Rhinolophus ferrumequinum: one gene and its partners. The protein of the gene in region 3 interacts with the protein of the main gene of each other region in a pairwise test. Links are inferred from orthologs where the notes say so. Each region holds a gene or a part of one and is shown on either strand. Other genes may lie near its edges. The genes, in order: ACTL8, CSNK1G2, CERT1 and RTN4.

Region 1 (8,010 bases), on a different chromosome or scaffold from region 3:
TCTACATAGACAATGATGTCTTCTGCAAATAAGGATGGTTTTATTGCTTCCTTTCCAATTTCTAAGCCCTTTATTTCTTTTTCTTGCCTTATTATATTGGCTAAGACTTCTAGTTAATTGTTGAATATGAGTGGTGAGAACTTTCAGTCTTTCACCATTAAGTATGATCTTATCTGTAGGTGTTTTCCTAGATGCCCTGTATCAGGTTAAGGAAACTCCCTTCTATTCCTTGTTGTTGAGAGTTTTCATTATGCATGCGTGTTGAATTTTATCCAGCGCTTTTTTTGCATTCATTGAGGTGGTCACGTGGTTTTGAATTACACTGATTTAAAAATGTTGATCAGCCATACATTTCTAGGATAAGTCCCAGTTAGTTGATACATTTTATCCTTTTTATATGTTGCTGATTTTGCTAATATTTTATTGAGAATTTTTTATACCTAAATGCATAGAAAGTTTGGTTTATAGTTTTCTTTTTTTGGTAATAGCTTTGGTTTTGGTATCAAGATAATGCTGCCCTCACAGAATTAGGTGGGATGTGTTCCCTCCTCTTCTGCTTTCTGGAAGAAATTGTGTATAGTTAGCGTTATTTCTTCCTTAAATGTTTGGTAGAATTTACCAGTGAAGTCACTTGGGCCTGGAGTTTTCTTTGTTGGAAAGTTTTTAACTAAAAATTCAATCACTTTTAATAATTACAGAGCTCTTCAGGTTATACATTTCTTCTTGAGAGAACTTGGGTAGATTATGTCTTTAAAGGAATTTGTCCATTTTACCTAAGTTGTCATACTGATGTCACCTCATCCCTGATATCAGTCCTTTGTGTCTTCTTTGTTTCTTCTTAGTCTGACTAGAAGTTTATCAATTTATTGATCTTTTCAAAGAACCAACTTTTGGTTTTACTGACTTTTCTCTATTGGTTTCCTGTTTCCAGTTTCAATGATTTTTTTTCTTGTTATTTCCATCTTCTGCTTCCTTTTGCTTTAATGCATCCTTATTTTTCTATTTTCTTAAGGTGAAAGCTTACATTATTGACTTCAACCCTTTCTTCTTCTCTAATACACACATTTAATGCTATAAATTCCCTCTGAGCACTGCTTTAGTTGCATCTCACAAATTTGATAGGTTGTATTTTTATTTTAATCCGGTTCAAAATATTTCCTAATTTTTTCTTTGACCCATGTGCTATTTAGACTTGCATTGTTTAATTTACAAACATTTGGGGATTTCCCAGATATCATTCTTAAATATATCCAGAATCCAACCACTTTGCTCCCTTTTCGCAACTACTACCTTAATGCAGGTCACTCTCATCTTTCTCGGCCCTTCAATCTCCTGCTTCTACTCTTGACCTCTACAGTTTATTCTTCATATCGGCCCAAATGATCCTTTCACAACTGAGGTCAGACCGTGTCATTTCTCTGCTCAACCCCCCAGCGGTTTCCCACCTCTCCAAGCACAGCACAAAGGTCTGCGTGGCCCATCACAGTCTTCAAACCCTTCCCTGCACCCACCACGTCCCACTATAGTGGCCTCCTGGCTGTTCCTGGAACACATCTAGCCATGTCTTCCTCAGGGCCTTTGCACTTATTGTTCCTTTGGCTTGAAATGCTTTTCCAGGTAATCACATGCCTTATTCTCTCACTTTATTCAGTTCTCTGTTCGCATGTCACCTTATAGAGAGGACTTTTCTAACTGTCCTATTTAGAATAGCATCATGCCTCTGTCCCTTTTACCAGATTTAATTTTTCTTCATTGCACTAATCCCCCTGGCACGACACATTTCATCTGGTGCTGACTGACAGTCTTTCTCAGTAGCTTACAAGCCTCAGGAGGGCAGGAACCACGGCAGTCTAACTAGCACATAATCGGCGCTCAATAGGGATTGGTAGGATAGGTGACTTGGTAAAAATGCTTTTGAATAGATTTTCTCTCTGTTCTTAGAGCTCGCTCCTTGGGGCCATCTGGACTTTCTTCCTATAGTCATGGTCCAGGGGAGGAATGGCCCCCAGCTTCCCACCCTGGTGCTTCCAGGCCCCGGTCAGGAGGTCCACCAGCCAGGAGGCCCCCTCAGTGGGCATCCTGATTGACAGCCACAGTGGCCAATCACCCTGCCGGCATCTGTGATTCCAAATGCCAGAGGCGAGGAAGCATTTGTCAGTGACCCCGCTCTTGTGCGGGGAGGTGGGTGACAGAATCCGCTTCCCAGAATGTCATTCAAATGCCCGGTTCTCCCTCACTCTGGGTGACTCGGGGTGAGGACTCCATCAAATCAGTCTGCCAGCAGGGAGGGAAGAGACTGGCACCTCGGCTCCGTCTCTCTCCTGTTTGCTCTGCCCATCTGATGTCAGAGCGAATTCAAGGCAGTGACACCTAATCACCGCCCCCAGGCTGGTGACGGAAGGGAGCCACTGGCCAGGGCCAGGCAGCGGTTGTCATGCTTCCACAGTGATGGGCAGATGCAACTGCTGGCCAGAAACTGAGGCAGAGCAGGTAGCGCTGGAGTGACAGCCCCAGCACACGGCCTCCGTGCCGAATGGCGTCCCTGGCTGTCTCTCTTATCTGAGGTGCCCAGGCACCGAGTCTGCTGTCTGTGTGGCAGTTTGTACTCTGCAAGGTGATTTCCTAAACCTCTCCTTTGTCCCCACACTCACTGGAGTTTTCCTTGAAAATTTTGTATTTAGAGTAAAAGTCACTCTTTAGTTGGGAGAGTTTCGACAAACTCATCTAGTTGTGTGCCCACCTCCACAAACAAGATACAGCAGCGTTCCTAGCATCACCCCCAAATTCCGCCATGACCCCGGGGGCCAACCCCTCCTGCCCCTGGCAGCCACTGATCTGTCCTTTCCTTTTTGCCTTTTCCAGAATGTCGTATGAATGGAATCATACATTGTGGAGCCTTTCCCGTCGGGCTTCTTTCACTCAGCTTAATGCATTTGAGAGTTACTCATGTTATTAGGTGTATCAGTTATTTGTTCTTTTTTTATTACCCAGTATTATTCCATGGAATGGAGATAGGTTTATCCATTCCCCAGGGGAAGGATTTTTAGGTTGTTTCTAGTTTTTGGTGATTATGACTAGAACTACTATAAACTTGGGCACAGAGGTTTTTGTGGGAACATACGTTTTCATTTTTCTTGGGTAAATACCTTGGCGTGGAAAAACGAGGTTGTAGGGGAGGTGTATGCTTAACGTTCCAAGAAGCTGCCAAACTGTTTCCAGAGTGACATCTCTGGCATCCCCACCAGCAGTGAGTGAGGGTTCCAGATCCTCCATTTCTTTTCCAGCACTCAGAACAGCTGCTCTTTAATTCCAGCCATCCCCATAGTGTCTCATTGTGGTTTTCCTTTTCCTTTTCCTGTGTTTGGCAGCCACATATCTTCTTTTCTGACGTATGTGCATCTTTGGCCCACTGAAAAAAAAATGGAGTTGTTTTTCTTATTATTGGGTTTTACGAGTTACGGTTTTTGGATATAAGTTCTTTATCAGATATGTGATTCGTACATATTGTCTCCTGTGGCTTGTCTTTTTATTGTCTTAACAGTGTCTTTTGAAGGGCAGAGTTCTCAAATGTGACCAAGTCCAGTTTACCCAATTTGTTCTTTTCTGGATTTGATTGGGCTATCAATATTATAGCTAAGAAAACTTTACCAAAGTCACCATGATTTTGTCCGAAGTTTTATTTTAAAATTTTATAGTTTTTACATTTTACATTTAGGTCTGTGGTCCATTTAGACTTAATTATGATAAGGTGCATGGTACTCCATACCTTAAAGTATATATTTTTTGGCGTGTGGATCTCCAGTTGTTCTCTGTCATTGGTTGTCAAGACTGTTCTTCTTCCATTTCATTGGTTTTGCGCCTTGTCAAAGATCTGTTGACCTTTTTTTGTGTGGCTCTATTTTTGGACGCTCCATCCTGTTCCCTGGATCTGTGTGACTGTCCCTTCACCAATACCACATTGTCTTGGCTACTGTCGTTTTGTAGGAAGTCCGGAAGTCAGGTAGTGACCACACCTCCCTTTTCAGCTTGGTGGTTATTATTACCCTCACTTTACAGATGAGGCAGCTGACCGCATTCTGGGTTAGACGTCTCACTCACAGCCTCCTCTACATACTAAGTTTAGCTGCTTATTTCATACTCAAACCCCACGTCTTCTGAGCTTGCCTGATGCTCAGAGCATGGCCTGTGGAGTCTGGTTTGGGCGTAACCCTCAGCTGTGCTTTGATCAGTTGTGTGGCCCTGGGAAAGTAACTTTAACCCCTCTGTGCCTCAGTTTCCCCATCTGTAAAACAAGTGTAAGGACGGTAACTGCTTTATAATTGTGATGCGGATTCAATGATTAGATCAGACCATATGGCATTTTTGACCGACACGAGTAACAGTTTCACACAGTTCAACTGACTATGCAAAATGCCTCTCTTATACTAGAGAAAGGGTGTGTACCCCGGAAATGGTCGCTATCGCTGTTGTCACCAGCTTGTCGTTGTCACTATTGCTCCTGCTCGTGCTGCTGTGGCGACTGCAGTATGATTGTTGGGGGAGGTGGGCCCTGAGGCTGATGGTTTCTGTTCCCTGTACCCTCCAACAGGCAGCCAACCACCACCAAGTGCCTCCTGGAGGACAGGCTTCTTGCCGAATCTGCAAAGAGTAACGGAGCCCATCCTCTGCTCTTGTGGAGCGGGAAGTGCTCTTGTGGCACGTGTGCAAAGTACAACGGGAGAAGCCTGGTGGGAAGGAAGGGCCGGCAGGACTTCCCAGATGGGCCCATTAGGCAGGCCGTGTAGGACAGTTGGGAGCTTGGGACGGGAAGAACACTCTAGGTACAAGTTATCACTTGTGCAAACGCTTGGGAGGGGGAACGGACAGGCTTCCAGGGAGCCTGAGGTTTGGCTGTGGCTGGAGAGTGGGAAGCAGCCCACGGTGTCCCAGAATGGGTTCACAGGTAACCCCCATCCTTTCCCTCCACAGGTGGCCCAAGTTTGCCAAACAGCCTCGAGGAGCCAAATTCGTCAGACCCCTCCCACCTCTGCCTCTGCCATGGCTTCGAGAACCATCATCATCGATCACGGGTCTGGCTTTGTGAAGTCTGGCTTTTCCGGCTGGAACGAGCCCCAGATGATCTTCCCAAGCGTCGTGAACTACAGCCCGTGCAGGGAGAACCCCGGACCCAGCTACGCCAGGCGGCGCCTGGGTCTCGGCATTGACATTTTCCATCCGGACACGTATAGCTACCCCATCCAGCGTGGCCGCGTCCTCAACTGGGAGGGCGTGGAGCACATCTGGTCCTTTGTCCTAGAGAAACACAGACGGGAGCACGAGGAGTCTCCTGTGTTGGTCACAGAGTGCTCCCTGAGGGAGCCTGCGGACCGACGGAAGACCCTGGAGGTAAGGCCTTCTCAGGGCGGCCGTCACGGGGGGCGGGGGGGAACAGCTGGCACTTTGTGTTTGGACATGATTGGGCATCAGGAAGTCTGCTTGCTTAAGCCTTGGCCCCCAAATGTTTCCTGAGTACCTCGTTTGTGCCGGCACTGAGCTAGGCAAGAGGGACTCACAGAGGGCTCCCCCCCACCCATCGAGACACAGCAGGAACAATGCTCTGTGGAAAAGGCCCTGCAGGGAGATACCGGACATTCAGTCGTGGATTCCACAAATGTTCACGGATCGGATTCCGGCCCTCAAAGAGTTTACCTTCTGGGGGAGAAGACTTGACCACGAATACGTTACCAAAAAAGAATTCCAGAGGGATCAGTTCTAGAAACAAAATGAAGTGGGGTGATAGCTGACTGGTGAGGATAGAGGGAGCCCTTTTGAAGAGGGTGAGCAGGGAGGGTTTCTCTGAGGAGGAGATTTCAGCCAGTGAGGCTGAAGCCCGGTAAAGGAGGGAGGGTGGCAAGAGGGAGACGGGAAGGTGAGGTTGACAGGGGCTGGACCTGGCAGGCTTGGTACACTGTGGGAAATGTTTGTATTTTACTCTAAATCAAGAGTTGATAAACTACAACTGGAAGGCCAAATCTAGCCCAACATCTGTTTTTATAAATAAAGTTTTATTTGAACACAGCCACGCCCACTCATTTACATATTATCTCTGGCTACTTTTACACTTCAACAGCAGAGCTGTGTCAGAGACTATAGAGTCCATAAAACCTAAAATACGTACTATTGTAGATAAAATTCAAGATACCTAGTTAGACTGGAATTTCAGATAAACAACAAATAATGTTTTAGTTTACCATGTTTCCCTGAAAATAAGACCTAGCTGGACCATCAGCTCTAATGCATCTTTTGGAGCAAAAATACTATAAGTAAAATAAGACCGGGTCTTATATAATATGATATAATATGATATGATATGATATGTGATATGATATATAGTATAGTATAGTACTGGGTCTTATATTAATTTTTGCTCCAACAGATGCATTAGAGCTGATGGTCTGACTCGGTCTTATTTTTGGGGAAACATGGTAAGTATATCCCAAATATTGCACAGGACGTACTTATACAAAATCATTATTTGTCTATCTGAAACTCAAATTTAACTGGGCATCCTATATATTTTTCTTTCCAGTGTCAAAGTGAATGCTTTAATGGGTGTTATTAATTGGGTGTCCTATATTTTTATTTGCTAGACCTGGCCAACCTGGCGATCTAGCTCTTTACTGAGAATGCTTGCCAAGCCCTGCTCTAATGAAGGAACGCTCCTGGAGAGTTTTAAGTGGGGAGTCACATGTGATTTTCTATTTGGAAAAGAGAACCTTGGGAGGTGGGTGGGGGCGGGGGTGTGGGGTGGGGAGTCGGGACATTATTCCGAGAGTGGGACTGGAGGGAGCTCCCTCCCACTGAGCGGAGAAGACAGGGCTGCGAGGCGTGGAGGATGCACTGCAACAGCCTTTCTGCCTCTATGGGGTCAGAAACTTGGGGGTGCACCCAGAGCTGGGGACCTGGGGAGGTGGTGCTCTGTACAGATCGAGGGGGTGATGGACAGGGGGAGAAACATCAGCTTAGGGACTTCGCCAAATGCTAAATATCAGAATTCCAGTTTTTGGCTTGATATCTGAAAAGTTTTTATGAAAAAATAGTTAAGTCTGCACCTACACGGAGGTGAGGGTATTTTCTTTCTTTCTTTACACCCCCTGTTTTTGGGAGGCAGTGGTGGACAGGCTGCACTTGTTTCTTTTCTAATCTCTTCTTTCCTGTTCTAAAGAAGTGGTTCAGGCTGCACCTCTGCCCACCTTGGCCGTGCCCCTCCCCTCCCCCCGCCATCCCCCAGTGATCACAAAGCCAGGCATCTCAGCTATTTCTTGCAGTGTATTTCTACCCCTCCCCCAAAATGGTCTTCTGAAAGACTGTCATCAGACACGCTCCTAAGGGCACATCTGACTTTCTAATCCTCTAGAGCCCCTCCCTTATCCCCACAGTTTGAGCTCCTGGGTCCCTAGGCCCAGTGTCCTGGGGGCAGCCCGCCAGTCCCTTGAGGATACTTGTCTGTGCCCACTTCAGTTTTGAGAGCTGCATGTAGCATGGTTTTGGGGAAAACAGAAATGGATCGGGGTCCTTTGTCCTAGGAAAGCACCCTGAGTGTCTGCTTTCCCCCGTCTTGCAGATTATGTTTGAGTTACTGGATGTCCCGTCCTTGCTCCTGGCTGACCAGCTGGCAATGTCCCTGTACGCCTCTGGCCTCCTGACCGGCGTGGTGGTCGATTCTGGCTACGGCCTGACCCGCGTGCAGCCCTTCCATCTGGGCCACCCGTTACGGCTCAGCAGTAAGACGCTGGAGTTTGCGGGCCAGGATCTCTCTGCCTATCTCTTCAAGAGCCTTTTTAAGGAAGAGAGCAACGAACACAACCTGTTTCAGCTGGAAACGGTTGCCACCACTCAGATGAGCAAATGCTATGTGCCACAGAATCTGGGGGAAGCTCTGGACTTCCGTCAGAACCTGCCGAGTGGCTCTGATGAGAGTAACACCTATCAGCTTCCGGATGGCACCCCCGTGGAGCTGACCCCCATGCA
Region 2 (7,170 bases), on a different chromosome or scaffold from region 3:
GGCACGCACGACCCAGAGCAGCTGGCAGACCTCCCAGGACTCACTGGTCCCAAAGGCGCTGTTTTCCACTCAAAAATGTCTATTTCTTAAAACCAAACATTTCCAATGAAAATTTAGGGTCCAAATGAACCCTGAGCATAAAATGCACACCCAAAGAAAAAATAATAAGCTGTCTCTCACCCATCACATGTTTAAATGATGTTCTAGACATATCGAGTTAAACAAAGTGTATTAAAATGATTTTCACCTGTTGGTTTTTGTTTTTTAACGAGGCTACCGGCATACTGTCCCTCCAAAGCACTCGTCACTGCCCATTTGTGACCATTGTGACCGTATCACACAGGGAAGCCGAGGCCCGAGGCTGAGAGGCGCCTTGCATCCCATCAACGTCCCGGGAGGCCTGAAGGCTGGAGGCCCCTGGCCACCCTGCACCCAGCTCCCTGCCCTGCCTGCTCAGCCCTGGTTTTTCTGGGCCCAGAAAGGATGGATATGCCAAGACAGGGACCGACTCCACAACCACAATGAGGGGCCCCACTGCTCCTGAGGTGGCCTGGGATCCAGGAGGGGCGGCAAAGTTAACCATGGGACAAGGTATGACTGGGTGTCCCTGGGAGAGAGGCCCCTGTCCCTAAGGTCAGCCTCTCAGGGACCTTGCTCAGACCCACCAGTAAACCTGCACGGACACAAGGGGCTCCACAGCTGTCTGGGACGCCTCTCAGCTGACTTGCTTCCCAAATTACTGGCTGGCGTGCTGGCTCCCCCAAAACTGGAAGGAGCACATAGGAAGGCTTTTAGTTAAAAAAACAAAAAATAAAAAACAAAAAAAAAACTTACCTGCTTCCTCTTGCAACCCAGAGATAACTACTATGTAATTAGGAGAGTCAGATGGAACCAGAACCGGCAGTTCAAAGAAGTCAGTCTGCACAGGGTTTTGTCGTCACCGTGAAGGGACGCCCAGAGCCAGGTAATGAAATGCCCGTCCCATCCACTTCAGAGAAATGAAAGGAATCAGAAGCAGACAGGAAGACGCTTTACAAGGGCGGACTGACATCGGTGCATGGAAAAACCAAACCCATGCACGACCACCACTGCAGAGCCCCAGGGGTTTCCCCCATCCTGGGGTGGAGGGTCCAGCCAGCTCCTTCCAGATCTCCCTCCACCTGCCGAGGGCAGCAGACACAACTGGCTCCCAAACCTGGGATCTAACCCGCCCTCAGTGCCCCTAGCAGCCCTCCCATTCTGTTCCTTGAAGGCAAAGCAACAAACACCTGCAGTCCTGGAGACTTCTGGGGGCGCTGCACCAGCCCTCCCCACCCCCATCCCCTCGCTCTGCAGAGCCCAGAGTGGTTCCTTTCTCGGCACAATTTAGTACGAAAAACAGAAACCAACTACTGGCAACAACGGCAAACTTCCCCCTTTCAAACCTGTGGGCCTGCTCACAATCTGCTCTTCTCACAGAGACGACTCCATTCCCCAGTGGCGGCCACCCCTTCCCTAATCAGAGGAGCTCTCCCCATGGGTGGCAGGCGGTTTGCCCCCAGATCGGAGCCTTTGTGCTTCCCCACTCATCTCACACCCATGAGCTACCGGCGCCCCTGTGGGGGCTGGCAAACGCCAACTGAGCCTGTCTGTGTCCCCGGGGACAGGGATGGAGGACCCACCCCCAGAGTTCCAGACACTGGCCAGGCCTGGGTTCCCCTGTGGAAGGCACTGGGGAGAAAACGCCAGACTCCACCTACAAGCACAGAACCCTCCAGGACCATTTCCTGCAAACAATGCGGGAATAACCCAGCTGCCCTAGAGCCTGCGCAGGACGACAGCTTGGACATCACCGTGAGGCTTTCTCTCAGATCCCCAGCCCCTAAGTGAAAGCTTCCCCAGGAAGAAAGTTGGGGCAGAAAGGGCAGGGAAAGCACCGTCCCAGGCAGGGCAGGGATCAGTGGCGGGATGAGTGTGGCCGGCCACCAAGGAGGCACAGACCTCTCACCACCCCCTCCCTGATCTAAAGTGTTTCCGGAAAACAAAGCCAGTGGTGAGGGCGGAAGGGGGAGGGCGCAGCCAGGCTGAGCCTGAGCAGCACCCCGCAACAGGTCACCCTGGTTGAGACCCTTCTTTGCTGCACACCCTTTCCCCACCCCAAGGGTCCAGCTCTCCCCAAGACCTTCAGGACAGCGGGGTGGGGGGAAATATGTGCACCAGCGTTGGGAGGGGTGATGGCACCAGGTGGGCAAGGGCGGCGGTCCAAGGGAGAGAGCTGGGTGGTCACAGGAGTGGGCAATGAGCTTGAGCACAGGGGGACAGTGATGGGGGCAGGTGAGGTGGGGCCAAGTGGGCAGTGAGAGAGAGCAGGGTCTGCAGTGCGGGGTCAGTGGGAGCAGCTGGGCCTGGAGTGAGGGGATAGTGGGGGGAAACCGGGTCTGGACTGTGGGGATAAGCGGGAGGCAGAAGTGGCAAGGTCTGAGTTTGGGGGTCACTGAAGGGGCAAGGTCTGGCGTGAAGGAAGTAAGGGGTGAGGGGCTGGGGCTAGAGTATGGGAGTCAGGGGGCCGTAGGAGCAGAGGGGTTGGAGTGTGGGAGTCACGGGGCTGTTGGGGCAACGGGATCGGAGTGCGGAGTCAGTGGAAGTGGGGGTTAGCAGCAGGGTTCGGAGTGCGGGGTTCTGCGGGTTGTACGGGCAAAAGAAGCTGGGGTAAGGGGGTCCAGAGTGCGGGTTGTAAGGGTCGAGGGGTCTAAGGTGCGGGGGTCGGCGGGGTGCTGGGGTCCTGGGGTCCTGTAGGGGCGGCGAAGTACCGGAGTCCGCGGAGGTGGGGCCGCAGGGCCGGGCGCGTGGCCGCGGCAGCCGGCGAGGGCGCGCGCGTCGTTACCTCTCGGCCTCCGCCGTGGCCGTGGCCGTGGCCCCGCGGCCGGCCGGCCGGGCTGGGCGGCCTGGCTCCCTCAGCAGCGCGGCGCGGTCCCCCACTGCGGGACCCGCTCTCGCTCCGGCTCCGGCGCCCGCTCGAGCCTCCGCTCCCGCGCCGCCGGCCTCCGCATGTTGGGCGCGGGCCGTCCCCGCCGCGCGGGCGCCCGGCTCGCCCGTCTCGTAGCGTCGCCGAGGCCCGCGCTTACGCCGCCAGCGTCGTGGGGAGGACCCGGCGCTCACTGCGCAGCCGCCGCCTCCGCCGCCGCAGGGCGCGCGCCGACGTCACAGCGCGGGGGGGAGGGGCCCGGCGGCGCGCTCGCTGCTTTGCGGCAGCGGGTGGCGCCGCGCGACGACCGCTGCGCTTTGCGGCCGCCTCGGGATAGTCAGGCTTCTTCCCGCGGGGCCAGCGAATGCACACGGGTGCCGGGACGCGCGCACGCGGAGGGAAACGGGCCGCCTCCACCCTTCGGGGGGCGGTGCTCTCGCCACTCGCCCGGGCCCGCCCCGCCGTTGCTATGGCGACGCGTGACCGGCCGCACTTCTCTTTCGTCACGGTCTCGCCACCTGACATCACGACCGGGCGGTGCCGCGGGGCGTGGTCGGCGCCGAGATGGGTCGACTTCGGGGGCTGGTGGCGGGGGACTGGTCGGGTGGGGCCAGGATGTGAAAACAGTCTAGGGTGATGGGCAATCGGTGTGGATGGTCTTCGCAGTGTCCTAATAAGTGGTGACGTCAGTGAGGAGTAAAGGAGGGATCAGCACCGGGCTGCCTCCGCTGTGGGTCACCCAAGGCAGCTGGCCTGGCTGGGGTGCTGCTGGGCCGCCGGGCGGAGCACAGGCCCTGTACGCAGCTGGCATTTGATAATATCCACCGCCCACCGCCTACTGCCTGGACCGAGAGGAGGCGTGGGGAGGGGTGACTGACCAAGGCCCCGCTGTGAGGCCCTGCTCCACCCGGGACAGGACCTGGAGAAACAGTGCCTGCCCTCCCGCATGCCCGGCGTGCCTCCTGGGGGTATTTTAACGTTAGAGGATACTCATCCATTCAAGTATTAAGTGCCTGCCAGCGGCTCTCAGAACAGAACGTGAGCTGTATTCTTGGCGTCACTTTCCAAGGAGTCCTCAGTCCTGGGGGGGAAGAGGAGACAGGACAATAAATAAGTAGACACAGTGGTTTCAGAAGGTGTCAAGGCGGCGTGGGGCAGTGACAGGGCCACACCCTACAGGCTAAAGCTACGTGTGACCAGATGGGAAGAAGTTTCCATGGTCTCTGATTACTTACTGTCCTGCTGACCAGTAAGTAACCAGATGGGGGAAGACAATTAAACTGGAATGGGACCGTGGAATGGCAATGGTTTGGGGCCAAGCCAGGCCCTGGCAGAGGCAAGCATTAGGGCTTATTCGGCCCAGTACTTCTCCTTCAGTCCCACTTGCAGTGTTGCAGTCTCCAGGAAGCCCCAGCCGTATCCCCTATTGTCCTTTCTCATTGCATCTTGATCCTCTCCAACCTGAGCCTTACCATAAAGGAGTGTGTTTGTTTAAAATCAAGCTCCTCTGCCAGCCACGCCAGGTCGGGACCAGGTCTGCTTTGCTCACTGCTTTGCCTGTACATACACTAGGCACTCAGTCTGTGTGTAGCAAATGAATGAATGAAAGAACAAATGAACTCCATGGTCCTCCCAGATTCTGGATAACTTGGGGTTTCATTTCCTCATATTTCCAAGCCCTATCTCTCCTGTCCTTTCCCTTTCTTGATATTCAGGAACATCTGCTTTTAAGAAATTCAGCTCCCAGGAGGGCAGAGGATCTATCCTCCAGAGGTATTTGAGCCCTAAACCCGAGCTCCATCCTTGCCCCTGTAAAAGGCAGGGAGGCTTGTGCAGCTGAAAGAACGGAGGAGGTGAGGCCAAGGCAGGGGTTGTGCCTGTCAGAGGCTGTGTGACTCTGAGTAGATCATTGACCCTCTCTGGTCCTCCACATCTTCATCTGTATGTTAGGACTAACGATAGCCCCCTCATGGCGGGAATCTATGAGTTAATGAATAAAGAACTGCCAGCATAGGACCTTCTGCCTCAAACGAACATATTTCTTTCTAATTAATCACTTGGGATCTTTGAAAAAGCAAACTGCCTTTCCATCTTTCTCATTTTTAACCCGCTTCAAATGTGCTCCACATGTTCCTGCGTCCTTTGGCTTTGATCATGGGGACACCATTTGGGAAAGCTGGAGTGGGAAACAGCCCCTTTGGAGCTCTTGTTAAAATAATAAGAACACTGTAAAGAGGATGAGCTGGTCTCCCCGCCACCCCCCAGAAAGTCAAACAATATCCTGGCCTCCCAATAAATCCTAAACAGCTGTGGATTTCGGGGAGGAGATGGCAGGAAGCACCCCTTCTGTCTCTTTACCCTTACAAGAAGCAGATCCATCAGTCTCCCCCTGCTTGGACAGACCCCAGGAGAGGCCCAGGGCTGTGTCCCTGTGTCCAGCACCAGCCCAAGCAGGTGTCCTGGTTCCGTTTTGTCCGACTGAATGGAATGAGTGTTGCCTGCCGTCAGGCCCCTCCCCATACGGAGCAGGGACTCACTTGGACATGCACATTCCTGTTTTCCAGCTGTAGATGGAAACAGGTTTAAGAGGCAAAGGGATTTGCCCATCGTACCCTGGCTTCAAACCTGCAATGTTGCTGCCTTCCACAGGTGGGTAGTGCTGGCTCCAACTACTCTGAGGGGCAGCCTGGGACCCCCCACACCCCAATCCCAGTGGCTGTAGTGTAAGAAGGTGTTCCACCCAAGGCAGAGCCTGATGCCATATGCTCACGACTGATTGGGACAAGTCAAAGTTCTGTCTCTCCACTGTGAGCAATGGAGGGGAAACGGAGGCCAGAAGACACATGAGAGAGGTGGTGAGGGGCAGCCATGAAGAAACTGAGGCCTGGAGGGTGCAGAAGCTCCTGGGGTGAACTGTCCACCTTAGGGGCCCCCCCATCCTCTGAGAATAGCCCCCAGCAACCAGGTCTGTACCATGTGACCACCCAGCCATCTCTGATTGGCCCAGAATGAGCCAATCAGATCCTTGTCTGGGATTGCTGCGTAGGAGGAAGCATCCTACCTGACTTGTTACCAGATAGGGACCTTCTGCCATGTGTGGCTTCTCAGGCATCTGCTTTCCCCATTGTTGTGATACAGTGTAGGGGACCCCAGTTTGCCCAGGTCTCCTGGGACTGTCAGTGCTAAAACCCCAAACTCCCAGGAAACCAGGATGACTTAGTACCTGAGCGTGGGGCATGAAGTGTCCTACCTGTCACAAGGAGCTATGAGGAGTTTCTTCACCCCACTTCCAGAGGACCAAGGTTTGGAAAAGGTAGAGGGTTGAATAGCATCCCCCCAAACTCATGTCCACCCAGAACCTCAGAATGTGAAATAGGGTCTCTGCAGATGTAATTAGTTAAGATAAAGTCGTACTAGATTAGGGTAGGCCCTGAATCCAATGACTGGTGTCCTTATAAGAAGAGAGACATGCATATAACTATGCAAGGGTATTTATTAAAAGGACACAAACTATAGAAAAAGAGAGAGACGCAAAGACAGAGGTAGAGAGAGAAGATGTCCATAAAACAAGAGAGGGGGAGATTGGGGTAATGCAGCCACAGCCCACGGACACTGGAGCCCTCAGAGGCTGGAAGAAGCAGGAAGGACCCTCCCCTGGAGCCTCTGGAGGGAGCGGGGACCTGAGACACCTTGACCTCAGATTTCTGCACTCCAGATGTACAAGGATAAATTGTTTTGAGCCACCCAGTTTGTAGTGCTTTGTTATGGTGACCCCAGGAAAATCATACAGGTGTGGACCCGGATTTGGTCAATGTTATGGGTTGCATTGCGTCCCCCAAAAACATATGTTGAAATCCTGACCCCCGGTACTTGTGAATGGGACCTTATTTGAAAATAGGGTCCTTGCAGATGTAATTAAGTTAAAATGAGGTCACACCAGAGTAGGAGTGGCTCTAACGCAGTGACTGGTGTCCTTATATGAAGAGGGAAATCTGAACACAGGTGCTCAGGGACAGGCCACGTGACGACACAAAGACTGAAGTGATTCATCTGCAATCCAGGAATGACGAGGCCCGCTGGAGCCACCAGAAGCTGGGAGACAGGCCTGGAACATTCTTGTTCAAGGCCTCCCAAGGACCCCGCCCTGCCAACACCTTAATCTCAGACTTCCGGACTCCAGCACTGAGAGGAAATAAATCTCTGCTGTTTTAATCCTCCCTGTTTGT
Region 3 (7,143 bases):
TTTACTCAGTCTTTAGTTGCTCTCAAGTCCTACTAAGGCATGAAGCTTTTCCCAACCATGATTAATCCTGATATTTGTTAGAGTAAACTAGAATTATTGTCTATCCAGTGTTCCTAGAACCTACGTGCTTAAGAATAAATTCCATAAAAAGATGTTTCATAAGTATTTTCATGTATTTTAGATTACCATATAGGAAAAAATAAACAACTTTGGACTGGTTTAAGAAACAAATCAAATTGGTAGTGGGACATACCTGAATTACTCAACAGAAGGAAAAAAAAAGATGCTGAGTTCTAACTTGTGCTTAAATTACCAAATGAATACAAAGGGCTCAAAATATATATTACTTTAAATTTTAAAACATGTATTAAATATAAAATACTCTTGATTAAAAAGTTTCCAGAAAACATTACATATAACCATAAATTGTTATATTTCGGGGAAATAATAAGAATACCACCAAAACCTATATTCCTGTTGATCTAAGCATGCAACAAAACTGAAGTTACTTAGCTACCACAGAAGTGGTCAAATACCACATTTCTATGCATTTAAATATCAAAGAGATAGTCTTCCATTTATTCCACATTTCCAGAGTATACCAACTACACTGCTCTGCATAAGGTGAATACTCAGAGCACTAGTGACTCTTTCCACCAGTTACAACAATCACCAAAAAGTGTCAATGGGTCAAACGCACAGCTTGTTTTGTAAAATACTTAACACTACCACAATACTAAATCTGAAAGTCTGCTTCTCATCTAATGAGAAAAGTGATGAAACTACCAGAACCACTGAAAAGTAAAGAACCCATTTCATAACAATTGCATCTGAAAATGTGTATTTATTATACAATGTGTTCAACACAGATTCCTGAATCACAAGATACATTTAAAGAAAGCCTAGAGAGCTTCCGTTCACTGAAAACCTTTCAATGAAATTCCAATAATGATCACAGTATTAACACACTGTAATTTTTCTACTACGTAAATAAGGGTTAACACTTATAAACCTTAGTGCTGACATACTCATGCCCTTCTTAGGCCCTTTCTCATCAGCCTTTTGAAGACAATATAAAAATCTAACATGAAACAATTCCAAGATGTCCAAATGCTTAAGCCAAGTATGTATATTGGAAGCAGGGTGATTTCTTAATAGCCAGGAGCTGCACATGACCTAGTATCTCATGACCAGCTTGTTGAGAGGCTGGCCCCAGCTCCCCCTTCTCCAGGTTAATTGCTAGCTCCATCCATTTCTAAAAGTTTAACAGTAAGGGAGAAAGAAATGGAAAAAAAAAAAAAGGCAACATGCATCTTCTCATAGCAACACTATAAGGAAAAAAAGTAAACACAAACAAAACCCCCAAACTCCCATGTACTAGCAAAAGATCACCCATCTTCCCTCTTAAAAAGGGCTTCATCCATTTTAACTAATTAGCCTTAGAGTCCTACAAATGACTGCTTTGCTAAAATTTTGAAAAAGGGGTTTTATAAAATACGGGAAAGGTAACGTCATTTCCTTACTCTGGCCATCTGACTGCAAGAATATTTTATTATTAAATATTGTTCTTCTTTCTGAACTAAAGGTCAGTCTCCATTCTGATATGCTCCAAGTTACGATGAATACAATTTTGTACCTATCACATGCCTATTCAATAGCTCTTTTCTGAACTGGGGTAAAGGGTGAGGGGAAAAGCACAAAAGATCTTATTGAGATCTCTCCCTACATCTAACCTGGCTGGCATAGTTCACCCCCTCAGATTTCAGCACCAAGTCTCCTTGCTCCGGCTGCTGTCTAAACAGCCGCGTCCCCAGAATCCCCCAACCCTATTCTGCTCAGCATACCCGGACTAACCTCGTTTGAGAGGATCGATTTACATCGTTCCCATACCCAGTTTTTCGGATACCGCCGTTGCCCAACCTGGATTCCTATGCCCGGGACAGCTGCCGCCCTCAGTTCCAAGACATGGTGCGCATCCCGCTCCCAAACTGGATCTGGGGTTGGAACACGTTTCCCCGGTCCTCAGCGGCTGCCGACCCCCCAGGGCAGGCAAAGAAGACAGTTCACTTTACCCCCTTTCCCCATTCCAACCCGTGGCCCCGGCACTCCTGCGGCAGAACTCAGCAACGCACCCCGGCACATTCCGCAGCCCCCGCCCGGGACAGTCCGTGCCTCCCGCCCAGCCCCACCCCATGCCCTCAGCGGCTCGCCTCGCGGCAGGTGAGTCTGAGCAGGGGGCCTTTGGCCCCGCGGGTTGCTCACCTTGCTAAGGACCCCGCAGCGCTCCACAGGCGGCCCAGACTCCGTCTCCGGATCCTCCTCCGAGCCCGACGAGTTCCAGCTCTGGTTATCCGACATGGAGACGCGACTGAAGAGCAGGAGACCGGCCCCCGCTCCCTGAGCTGCGCCGGAGGAGGCGTTCAGTCCCCGGAGTGAAACGTCGGAGGATGGCAAAGGGAAGAGTGCGCGCTCCGGCACCGGGGGGTGCTGGAGAAGGGACGAAGTCCACCCCACGCGCCGCCGCCGCCGCCGCGCCTGACACCGAGCGGACCCGGGAAGGAAGACAAGCGGCGAAAGAAACCTGTCCCTCCGGCCGTCAGCCGCCACCGTTGCCGTGACTCCTGCGCTGCGACCGGCGCCGCCACCCGAACTCACCCCCCTTGATGCCAATCTCAAACAGAAAAGGAAGGGGGAAGAAAAAGGGAAGAGAAAATCCAGCTGCAGAGACCCGGGTCCACTCACACCTCCGCTACCGCCGCCATCTTCCTGCCTGGCCCACTATTTACCCTCCCCTCCCCTCTGCCCTCCTCTACGTCTTCCCATTCTCCCCCAGGTCCCCGCCCCGTCCCCCACCCACCCGCCAACGTCTGACGCAGCACGCCGAAGGCTTGGGGTCCCTCCCGCACCCTACCTTCGGCCCTCCCGGGTGACGCAGAGTAGAGAAGTAGGAGGAGCGGAGACAGGAGTAGTGTTGGGGACGCTGCTGTGCTGCATTCTGGGAAGGACGCGGCTCCGCGTGATCTCCTGGGAGTTGTAGTCGCTATCCTGAAGCAACTGGTGAGTGTTTCGCGCCGGGAAGGCTTGTCGCCTTGGGGACGATCAAGCGATGGGTGGGCTTCGTTTGACAGTTGCGTGACCGGTTCCCTCGGCCGCGCTTCTCTCTCTGCGTAGCGTGTTTGTGACGAACCCGCCCGGCTTGCGCGGACGGACCTGAGATAGCTCTCTGCTGAGGATGCCGGGCCTGCCTTCCATGGCGGCTTCCCGAAAGCCCGGGAGCATCTTGCCGCCGCTTGTCTGGGCGGGGAGTACTGGGTGCTTTCGTCTCAACGCCGGGCCAGAGGGTTGCGACCTCTCTAATGACAAGGGGGTTTCTTTCCGCAAACTACCTCAGCAAATTTTGAAGATCTTTCATCTCGCTCATTAGAAATTAGACTTCACAACGTTTCCCTCTTTTGAAGGAAGAATTTTCAGTTCCTTCTCACCAGAGCAAGCGCTTCGCGTTGTTAATTTCCAGTTTTATTTCTGTGGAAGTAATTTTGAAGATGTCAGAGATTCAATCACGCTTGAAGTTTTTAAAGTAAAATAGAGTGTGACATGATAGCCTGGAGTTTTCTCTTAGTTGTAAATGAGTGTCTTCCTGAGACCCAGGTTAACCATCTCTACCGACCTACCTCTCTATGAAAGATAGAAAAGTTATTAGCTTTTTTCTCTAAGAATGACCAAAGTGCAGTAGTCTTGTTGAATACTAAGGGATTAGGTAATAGGCTAGCTTTGTTTTAAGACCAGAATTAGTGAAAAGACCAATAGAAGATCTAACAGCTCTTGTCTAGTCTTTTTGCATACATTATAAGGATGACTTCTAGATCTTTTTGTAGCTAGCTTAAGGTCTTTCCTCTCGTTTGTTGCTTTTACAATTTTGTCAATTTCTTAATAATTGCCAACAGTAAAATTCGTTATTGAAACAGAAAAAAATACTGCAGAGACGAGAAGATAGGAGTGAAATTTTGAGTTTGGTGGAAAAGGCACAGTGGCCAGAAATAAGTCTGATAGGGATAGAGGCGATCTCACTGGGATCTTCAGGAAAAAAAAGGAATGATAGGAAGTGTCTCTGAGAAGTAACTCTCTTCCATTCCAAGATTGACACTTATAGATGCAGAATCTGTTGTAAATAGGTTACCAATTGTTTTTCATTGTGAAATCAAGTGCTAACTGAAAGCCATTAAGATGAATGAAATCTTGAGATAAAGCTTTTGAAAACACTTTGTCAACGTGTTAATGAAAACATAATCCCAAGGTTGTCATTCAAAAGAGAAAAACGAAAAAACCCACATAGTGCGTTTTTTCCTCGCTATGGAATTACTGAATTATTCCTTTAGAATGTTGAATACCATAGCAATTAAGTTTTGTTTTGCCTCCCGATTACCTCATGTAGTTAGACTTCCTATTTCTGATATGTTTAAGCTGTAGGTGTTAAAATGTCATTAGTCCTGAGCAAATGATTGTGAATTGTTGAAGAATTCACAATGGGAGAACAGTATATGTTTATCTTTAAATGGAAATTTCTGTTGTATTTTATACATTTCTAAGTTGTGTGTGGCTGTAACCTCCCGCACTTAGATCACAACTACTAGCTCCTAGATCATTAAGATGTCCACTTACTCAGTAGGAAATTGTTTCATTGTATATAATATTAATATGAGAGAAATTGCCTTTTAAAAACAGATTTTTTTGCCACAATCTTCCTCTAAGCTTGTAAGACTATTTAAATTGTTTTTTAATTTTACAAATATATTTGTGTACTGATTACAATACCACATTAGAGGTTGGGATTCACTTCATTACTGTTGATGGGAAGAAACTGCAATACAAGAATAAAATACATGTTCTTTCTCTTTATTTTATAGTGAGAGTGATGGCTTCTGAATTTTCTGTCTTACTTAGAGCCTACCCCAAGCCTCTTACAAATGTCCTATATTTTCTCACTTGGTAGTTTTTGTTTGTATGTTTGTTTTTTACTTTTAGAACATGAATCCACCTGGGATTTATTTTTGTATATGGAATGAGGTAGGAATTTGTTTTTTAAGGACAGCGACTTGATCCAACACTTTAGTGAATAGTCTATTCTTACCCTTATGTTTACGTGATATGCAAAATCTCCATATATGTAGGTCTATTTCTGGACTCCATTCTTTTTTGTTGTTCTCTTTGTCTATACTTACTATGCTAATACCACACTTATTTAATTATTTACCTTTATACAATTCCCATATATATAGTACCAAAATTCTCCTGATGTTCTTTTTCATTTGGATATTTTTGTGTATCTTCTCTTCCAAATGAATTTTAGAACAGCTTGTCAAATTGTATAGAAAATTCTATGGGGATTTGGATTGAGAATGCACTTAATTTATGAAGAAAATGACATTTTTACAATAGTAAGTCTTAGCTTTGGTCAGGCACTTTATATACCTGATCTGTCTTATTCCTTACAAACCATATAAAGTGAATGTTGTTGGCTTCATGTTAAAGAATTTGAAACTGAAGCTCAGGGAAACTAACTTACCCAGTGTCATATAGTTTCTAAGTGGCAGAGTTAGGATTTGAACACAGATCTATATGATTTCGAAGATATACCCTTTTCTTTGCTTCTGAATACTTCTAAAAGAGGGAAGAATTGTGTAAATAAATAATATAAACTGTAGATAAGTATATCACAGCAACTATACTCTTAATTCAGCTAATGATTTTGAACAGCATTCTTTTACCCTGCCCTTGCGTCTATGCTGTCTTATTTAACCGCGATGTAAAATTTATTATTTCTATTCTATTTCTAATACTTCACATGAAGAAAATGAACCACAGAGAAACTAAATAACTTTCCAAAGGTCATTCATACAGCTAGCAAAGATCATAGTTGCATTTTGAGCCCAAATATCCTGATTCCTGTGTTCATTCTCATCCCACTAGAGTTCTTCAATTCCTCTTATGTCTCCCTTCTTCCACCTCACTTCATTCTCTCACCTTTTGTCGCCACTAAACACCAATCCCAAAGCCTTCATCCTTGCCCTCCACTCCCACTGCCAAGACACAGAAGCCAAAAACCCAGAGATGTTGGAACTGAGAATGTTTGCAGTGTTACTGATCAGCAGGTAGAGGAATGAAGAGGAATATTTACTCTTGATGCTAGAACTTGATGCCAGAGCTGGCCAGGATGTCCCAAGTTAAAACTAAAATCATTCTGTAATTTTTTAAGATGATCCTATAAAGAGCCTTTATTAGTTAGCTCAGGCTGCCATAACAAAATATGAATACCACAGACTGGATGGCTCTGTTCCCTCCCTCCTCCTCTTATAAGGACACCAATCCTGTTGGATTAGGGCCTCACCTTTATGACCTCATTTAACTTTAATTACCTCTTTATAGACGCTATCTCCAAATGCAGTCACATTGGAAGTTAGGGCTTCATAATGAATTTTAGTCCCTAACAGAGGTTGCAGGTTCTATATTTCCACAGTATTTATTATGTTGATGATGCATTTTGAGTTAAATAGTCCTTTTTTAGCTAGCCTGGGAATTTAATTGTTCTCTATACTGCTGTTCCAAACTGAGATATAACCAGTTAAAAATTGCGGATTTACATAAGAAACGTGATTTTGGAACCTTAGAGATACTAATCTATGAAACAGAGGTAATAATCTATGAATAGCAACAGTCTTAAAACTAGAGGACAAATAACAAAATACGGCATGTGAATAACACAGCTGATATTTTTTCACTCTATTTTAATGTCTTTAATAATTATCTAGGTGGTGAAATTATGGACCACTTGAATTTTCTTTTTATACTGTTGTATTTTTAATGAAGACAAAATGTATATAGGTGTGAGTATATGTATGTATGTTTATATGTATCACTTTTATGATAGAAGGTAATTATAAGTGATATAAATTAGTTAAGGATTTGTTAATCTCTCTACAATCAGAATCTTCTAAATTAATTTCCACCGTATACTTGTTGATGTCCCTGTTTTTCCACACATTTTCCATTTCACCATCAAGAGAATTGATGATTGCAACATTTCTTAAGAATGCCCCATCGGGGCCGGCCCGGTGGCTCAGGCGGTTGGAGCTCCATGCTCCTAAC
Region 4 (6,874 bases), on a different chromosome or scaffold from region 3:
CACACAGAGCTCATTCCTGCCTCAAGGCTTTTGCCTCCTAGGAGTTGCCCAAAAATTTTTAATTGCACTTCCTATCTCACCTCCTCAGAAAGGCCTGTCTCAGTGCCTACCCTACCTAGGAAGGCCCGCACACATTCCAGTCATTCTCCATGCCATCATCCTGTTTATTTTCCTTATAACACAATTATTGTAAGGTCCTGATTTATGTCCTTATTATCTGTACTCCCCCATAGGGAGCACATGTGTCTTGCTTATCACTGTACATCATATATATCATAGCCCAACAGTGCATTGTCTCTGCAGACAGTCAATATGCAGTTGAATGAACCAACAAAGTCTTTTAAGAAATCTGGACTCACTGAAATAGCTTAAGTATCCATGACCATAATCAGGATGTTCCTGCATTTACTAAATAAACCAGTTTTCAAATAGGCATTATCAATAAAGAATTAGGAAACTAGATAGAATGGATGGGAAGGCAATATTCTCTCTTCTTTGTCTTCCAAAAGTCAAAATTGAGAATGCTGTCACCTCCCAAATCCCCAATGTTCAAAGAACAGAACTCTTCTCTTTGTTACCATGCAGGAATACAAGAGGACAAATTAGTATGCTTTTGTTAATCATTAAATTTCCCTTCTGCAAATTTCCTATTACTTTATCTTTTTCTACCTCACCTTAGTTTCTCTCAAATGTATTTTTGATTCAGAAAAAGGAAAGTGAGTTATTCCTCATCTTCTAGTATCTTTAGTGTAGTAATTAGTGTTTTGATTAATGCTTTGGAGGATGTCAATATCAAAATGTTATTCAGAAACATCACAATTGGCTTATATTCCAATTGTAGAGGAGTGAATGCAAGAAAAAAAAAAATTCCGTGCTCTCAGACTGATTTTATTTTTCTAGAAAATGAACGATTTCCAAAATCCTACAATGATAGTAAGATTTCTCAGCAAGCAGTAAAACTACCTTATTCTTTACCTTTTACACATAAAGAAAGGTCCTACTGTTAGTGGGACACTTTTTGCTCCAAAATTAACAAGTTACTTGTAAATTAGTTAATAATTTGCCTGATAAAATGAATTCTCAATCTCTAACAAACTTGATTTTTTCTCTTCTAAAATAAACAATTCCCGAGATGAAAAAGGTAATAAAACAATATTCCTAAAAATAAATTGATAATAATGTGTAATCAGGTACTACTCATGTGAATAAAAAGATTTGAAAACTATTTACGGACTATGCAGATTTGTCTGTCGACCTAAAACATAACTTCTAAGAAATAATATTGCTAACCAATAAATGAAAACCTGTCTCAAAACATTTCATAAGTCTCATGGTAAATCTGCCACAAGTTCAATTAGCCTATTCCCAGCAAGGAATCCACAGGTTTTCCTTCTTTAAAGATAGCAACCATTTTGCCTTTTTTTCCCCTCCCTACGAATCAAGCATGATGCAGTAAGAGGCTAAACCTGTTCACACTAACAGCAATTCCACTCACTCCGCAGCTGAGACCCTGGCAGGACTGCGCCCCCTCGAAACACAATGGCCAGATCGCATTTCCCAGGCTCAGTTTAGCTGGTGGGGAGTCGCCACATCACAACCGGGGGTAAACTGGGCGGTGGCAGGACTTCTCCAGAACTCTCTCCTTCCCAATTTTCCACGCGCCACACCACTGGAGGCGCTCTCCCTTCACTGCAGCTGGGCCAATGTGGACGTTTTCCAATGGGCCAGCTCTCAGCCAGGGCAAAAGGAGGGAAAGGGGGCTGAAGCGCAAGGGAGTCACCCAGGCCAGGAAGGGGGTGAGGAGGGAGGCCAGGTCTGAAAGCAGGCAAACAGACTAGGAGCCAAACTGCGCCCTTCCCTAGGAGCAACCCAGACCGGGAGACAAAAGATTACCGCAAGGCCTCTCCATCCTCACCCCAGAACCACGCCAGCCCAATGAATCCACAACCCTAGTTCCTCTATTCACAACCAGCTCCTACTACTAGGAGTGGGTGCCTAACTTCTGGAACGCAGTGGAATGGGGAGCGAGCGGGGTGCACGTGTTCCCCGATACCCAGACAAACAATGAGGAACAAACCCGGGCTTCCTCCGCCGCCCCACCCCGCTCCCCGCGGCTCCCACCCGGGAGACGCCTTCTCCCTGAGGTCCGCAGACAAAGCCCCCTCGGGGCCGAGAGGAGGGCTCGGCCGGAGGCAGCTGAGGCTGCACACAAAGGAGGGAGAGGCGCGTGGGGCGGCGCGAGGCGGGAGGGCTAAGCACTTACCCACTGAGCCTGAGGAGCCCCTGCGCTTGGGCGCGGCCGGGGTTGAGGGGGGCGCGGAGGGGGCCGGGGCGAGAGGGGTCCACCCTGGCTCGGCCTGGGGGCTCACGCTGGCCGGTGGAGGAGGGGGAGGCCGGGCTGGGGACTCGTCGTCCTCGAGGAGCTTGGAGGGCGAGGCTGCAGCAGTGGAAGGTAGGGATGGCGCGGCCACCGCGGACGTCGCGGGGCTCGGGTCCCAAGACGGCTGCCGCTCCGGGGCGGCGGGGGGATCGGCCGGTAGGGGTCCCCGGGGCGCCGGGGGCACGAAGTCATTGCCAAAGTCCAGCAGGGGCGCAGCGGGGGCGGTGGGCACTGGGGCCGCAGACAGCCCGGCGGCGGGCTTCCTCTCCAGTACCTCCAGCTCCTCCAGGTCCTCGTCTTCGTCCTCGTCTTCCTCCTCCTCTTCTTCCTCCTCGTCCTCGGGATCCCTCACGAACTGGTACTTGAACGCGGGCTGAGGCCGGGGCGGGTTGTCCGAGGACGAGGAGACCAGAGGCGACTGGTCCATGTTTTCCATGGCTGCCGGGTCGGAGATGATGCTGCAGCTGCTACGGCCGCGGGGGACGCTTCTTTTCAGAGCCGCGGGCGGTTGTGGGGGGTGGGGAGGACTAAGAGGGGCAGGGCCGAACGAGGGACCTGCAGTGGCGACGGCTCCCGGAACAATGAGACTGCTTCTCCTGCCTCCGCGCCCGTGATGCGCCACCCGCCCAGTCCCCAGTTGCCGCCGCCGCCCAGAAGAGCGAACGAGAGAGGCCAGCCGCCTCTCCGCCCAGTTTGGCGTGATTCACCCTCCCCAGCAGGGAGAGGCAGGGCGGGCGCGGAGGAAGGGAGCCAATCGGCTACGGGTACCGGACGAAGGGCAACTAGCCGGCCCAACGGAAAGGAAAAGAGATGGAAGTGGGTGGGTCTTATTGTTCTTCCTCGCTTACCGGGCTCGATGGGCGGGGTTTGAAACTGGCAGTCCCACCCTCCACTTTCGGTAGTTGAGGGTTAGGGCTGGGGTCTCGGTCTTGCCCGCAGTTGGAGGTCAGTCTGTAGTTAGAGTACTGTGAAACCCAGCCAGCTGCCTGCCCTGAAGGGTCGGAGAAGTGCCTGGCGCGCCACCGGAAGGGCGTTATCCTGGGAGGTTGGGGGTGGAAACTTTCCTCCCAGGAAAGGAAAAACCCAGAGTGGAGAAAGGTACTAACCGGACTATGTAGTACGCCCTAAGGACTGAAATATACGTTAAATTTTTAAAGATTTTGAAATAAAAGATATTTTTTCCAACTTAAATTCCCAGACCACCTCATCACTACTACTATCACCACCTTTAAAGAAAAAAATTTTTGACAGTTTTAAGATCATTCCCAGTCTAATTTGCAAATCCTCAATGAGGTAGGCAAAACAGAGCTGGGCTGGACTACCGTGTTTCCCCGAAAATAAGACCAGGTCTTACATTAATTTTTGCTCCAAAAGACACATTAGGGCTTATGTTCAGGGGATGTCATCCTGAAAAATCATGCTAGGGCTTATTTTCCGGTTAGGTCTTATTTTTGGGAAAACACGGTATCTGGAGTCTGGGGTGGACCATTTGAAAGTCCACTAATTTCCTTCCAGGAAGATTTTGGGATCTACTCAATGCTGGACTCTCACATGGTAGGATGAGTCACTTAGAGGACGATGGGAGACAGGAAAATGGAAATAGAATGATGCCTTGAAAGGCAAATTTGATTCACATTACATTTCATGAACCTTAGGTTCATGAGTCAACATTTCAGATGATTCAGGCTTTCTGGGAGCAGGAAGCCCAATGCTCATTTCTTTGATATGCCAGAATGAGCATGATTCCCATTCCACTTTTTCCAAAACTGGAGAGTTTAAAGAAAGTGGTTGCAGAACATGTAAGTATCAACATCCAGAGATTTAGAGAGCCCTTTTATCTTTCTGATATACCTTTCAAAAGTCTTTGCTGCATGCCTAATGTGGAGGCCCTGGAGAGAGGATAACTTGCTTTAAAGTTGCTGACTGCCCAGGCCTGCACGGTTGGTTCAATACCATAGTCACCGGCTACTTGTGGCTGTTCAGCACTTGAAATGTAACTAGTCTCAGACGAGATGTGCTGTAAGTTTAAAATGCACACTACATTTTGAGAGTTAGTACCAACAAAAGTTAAACATCTCAATTTTTATACTGATTACATATTAGAATTGATACTATTTTGGATATATTGAGATAAGTATATTATGTTAATTTAACTTATTTCTTTTTATTTTTTAAATGAAGCTTCTAGAAAGTTTTAAGTACATATACAGCTCATATATTTCTATTGGACAGTGCTGGTCTAAATTAATGATTAAGAAATTTTGATTGCCGTGGGGAAATCACTGGTTATTTAAGCAAATTCTTAGCTCCAACTAATTAGTATTATCCTACACTTAATTAGAGTACTAAAAGGAAAGGCAGGGGTTGAGGGGGAGGAAGGAGAGATGAATAGGTGAAACACAGGAGACTTTTAGGGCAGTGAAACTATTCTGTATGATACTATGATGAAAGATACATGATGTACATTTGGCAAAACTCATAGAACTATGCAACACAAAGAGTGAACTCTAAATTTTGGGCTTTAGTAAATAGTATGTCAATATGGGTTCATCAGTTACAACAAATGTACTATACCAATGCAAGATGTTAGTAACAGGAAACTGGTCGGGGTTGGGTATGAGAACTCTCATGGGAGGGTATGAGAACTCTCTGTTCTATTTAATTTTTCTGTTAATGTAAAACTAAGAAATAAAGTTCATTAATTTTTTAAAAAAAAAAAAAGGAAAGGTAGAACAAGATTTCCTAGAAATGTTACCAGATCAGGTGAATTATCAACAATACAGTCAAGACCTGGCATATCAATTCCACAAAGATGAACTGGCTTTATTCATACAAAATGGTTGTGAGTTGCTTTGAGTTTTTGTTTGTTTGAAAAGTTGGGAGCATATAGGAAGAGAAAAGTATTAGTATAGAATTTTGGGACAGGAAGTTTAATGCCAAACTGAAAATTTTAAAACAGATTCCTACAATGATAACTAAAATGATGTTTCGAGTATTTGTCAAACATTTGTCAAAAATTATCAAATGCTTTGTAATGATTTTCAACTACGTACATACACATACAAAAATATACTAACAAAATTTTTATAATCTGAGCTTTTTCTGCTAAGTCACAATTATTTATCAGCAGTTCAGTCTTCCCCATACTGTTTTTCTCACTATGATTGTCTGAAACTCCTTAACGGAAAGTTTCATAGGGTTTTCATATATTACTTGCAAGTTGGTTATATGATATTTCTATTTTAATATATCTGTGTACCTGCTACTAAAATAGTCACAAGGAAATATCTGTATTAAGTGTCACCAAAGAATGATTACAGAAAAATTGGTAGATTTGCAACTTTAATAGTAAACCTTAAATACTGAGGCAGTAATATAAGCACTCTCCTTTGACACAGAAGAAAAACAAGAATTTTATATTATTGATCTCAGTGAAATCTAGAAAATTAAGTATCTGATGGATGAATAACGGTAAAGAGTTTACCCAGTGTTCATAGGATGGTCAACAAAGCATAAGGAAAGGAGAATGCTGGTACTATACCAGAATTAAAAGTAGAGTTAATTACACATTAGTGTAAATGAAAATATCATTCTCACTAACAAGAAAATTCTGGTGGGTATTTGACATGATTAAAGGAAGAATATAAACTCTAGATCATAATAATAGTTAGAAAATACTTATTCAATGAATTATCTTCGAAATTTTCATACCAGATGTAGAAGATTAAAGTTTCTAAATACCATGGGTGATAACTGTTCTCTCTTAGTACACTATAAGAGATCCATTCAGTCTGGTGGAGTCATAGAATCTAAGAGTTGGAAGGACTCTGAAAGAGCAGCCTGACCAATTTCCCTCCCTTTATAAGAATTCCCTGCAAAAAAGGTTTTTAAATTTAGTCTGTGGTAGATTGAAAATGGCCACAAATACTGCAATGACTCCCTTTAAGAGTCGGATCAATTTCCCTACCTCTTCTGAGCTTGTGACTGTCTTGACCAATACAATGCCATGGGAATGAGTTCTAAGCCTAACCAGCAGAGATATTACGGCTTCCACTTTCACTGTCTTGAAACGGTGAAGCCCAAGATGACAGACACATGGAGAGAGAGACCTATCTGCCCAGCCATGCAGCGGATGTCCCAGAAATGTGAAACCATCTCAGACTGTCCAACCAACTCACAGAATCATGAGAAAGAATGAATCGTTGTTTTAGACTATTACATTTGGAGATGATTCATTACACAGCAAAAGCTAATTGAAACATCTATATTATGCTTCCATTGTGTGCTTTATTCATTCTTACGTGAAATACTTATTGGCTACTTACTCTGCCACAAGCACTGTTCAAGACTCAGGAATACAGCACTGAACCAATCAGACACAAATGTGCTTGAACATTTTCAGTAAAGGGAGACTCACGACTTAGGGAAATAGCCCATTCAGTCTCTATAGAACTATAGCTTATTGCAGAATGCTTATATTGACACCTAATCTGG

What was found.
Region 1: the proteins of CERT1 (region 3) and ACTL8 interact in binary tests that used the Homo sapiens proteins (3 or more experiments, as listed by UniProt). The two-hybrid records come from large-scale screens. The link is inferred for Rhinolophus ferrumequinum from reciprocal best matches to the Homo sapiens genes CERT1 and ACTL8.
Region 2: the proteins of CERT1 (region 3) and CSNK1G2 interact in binary tests that used the Homo sapiens proteins (3 or more experiments, as listed by UniProt). The two-hybrid records come from large-scale screens. The link is inferred for Rhinolophus ferrumequinum from reciprocal best matches to the Homo sapiens genes CERT1 and CSNK1G2.
Region 4: the proteins of CERT1 (region 3) and RTN4 interact in binary tests that used the Homo sapiens proteins (3 or more experiments, as listed by UniProt). The link is inferred for Rhinolophus ferrumequinum from reciprocal best matches to the Homo sapiens genes CERT1 and RTN4.

Annotation. Positions count from the first base shown.
Region 1 is NC_046292.1:11,733,981-11,741,990, forward strand, and holds the start of ACTL8 (actin-like protein 8), read left to right. Parts: upstream 1-4,999; 5' UTR 5,000-5,037; coding exon 5,038-5,385; intron 5,386-7,603; coding exon 7,604-8,010.
Region 2 is NC_046301.1:61,248,336-61,255,505, forward strand, and holds the start of CSNK1G2 (casein kinase I), read right to left. Parts: upstream 3,020-7,170; 5' UTR 2,864-3,019; intron 1-2,863. UniProt on the Homo sapiens protein: Serine/threonine-protein kinase. Casein kinases are operationally defined by their preferential utilization of acidic proteins such as caseins as substrates. It can phosphorylate a large number of proteins. Participates in Wnt signaling.
Region 3 is NC_046290.1:48,143,888-48,151,030, forward strand, and holds the start of CERT1 (ceramide transfer protein), read right to left. Parts: upstream 3,010-7,143; 5' UTR 2,995-3,009; coding exon 2,912-2,994; intron 2,780-2,911; exon of another isoform or gene 2,660-2,779; coding exon 2,263-2,659; intron 1-2,262. UniProt on the Homo sapiens protein: Shelters ceramides and diacylglycerol lipids inside its START domain and mediates the intracellular trafficking of ceramides and diacylglycerol lipids in a non-vesicular manner.
Region 4 is NC_046296.1:32,571,199-32,578,072, reverse strand, and holds the start of RTN4 (reticulon-4), read right to left. Parts: upstream 3,008-6,874; 5' UTR 2,817-3,007; coding exon 2,264-2,816; intron 1-2,263. UniProt on the Homo sapiens protein: Required to induce the formation and stabilization of endoplasmic reticulum (ER) tubules. They regulate membrane morphogenesis in the ER by promoting tubular ER production.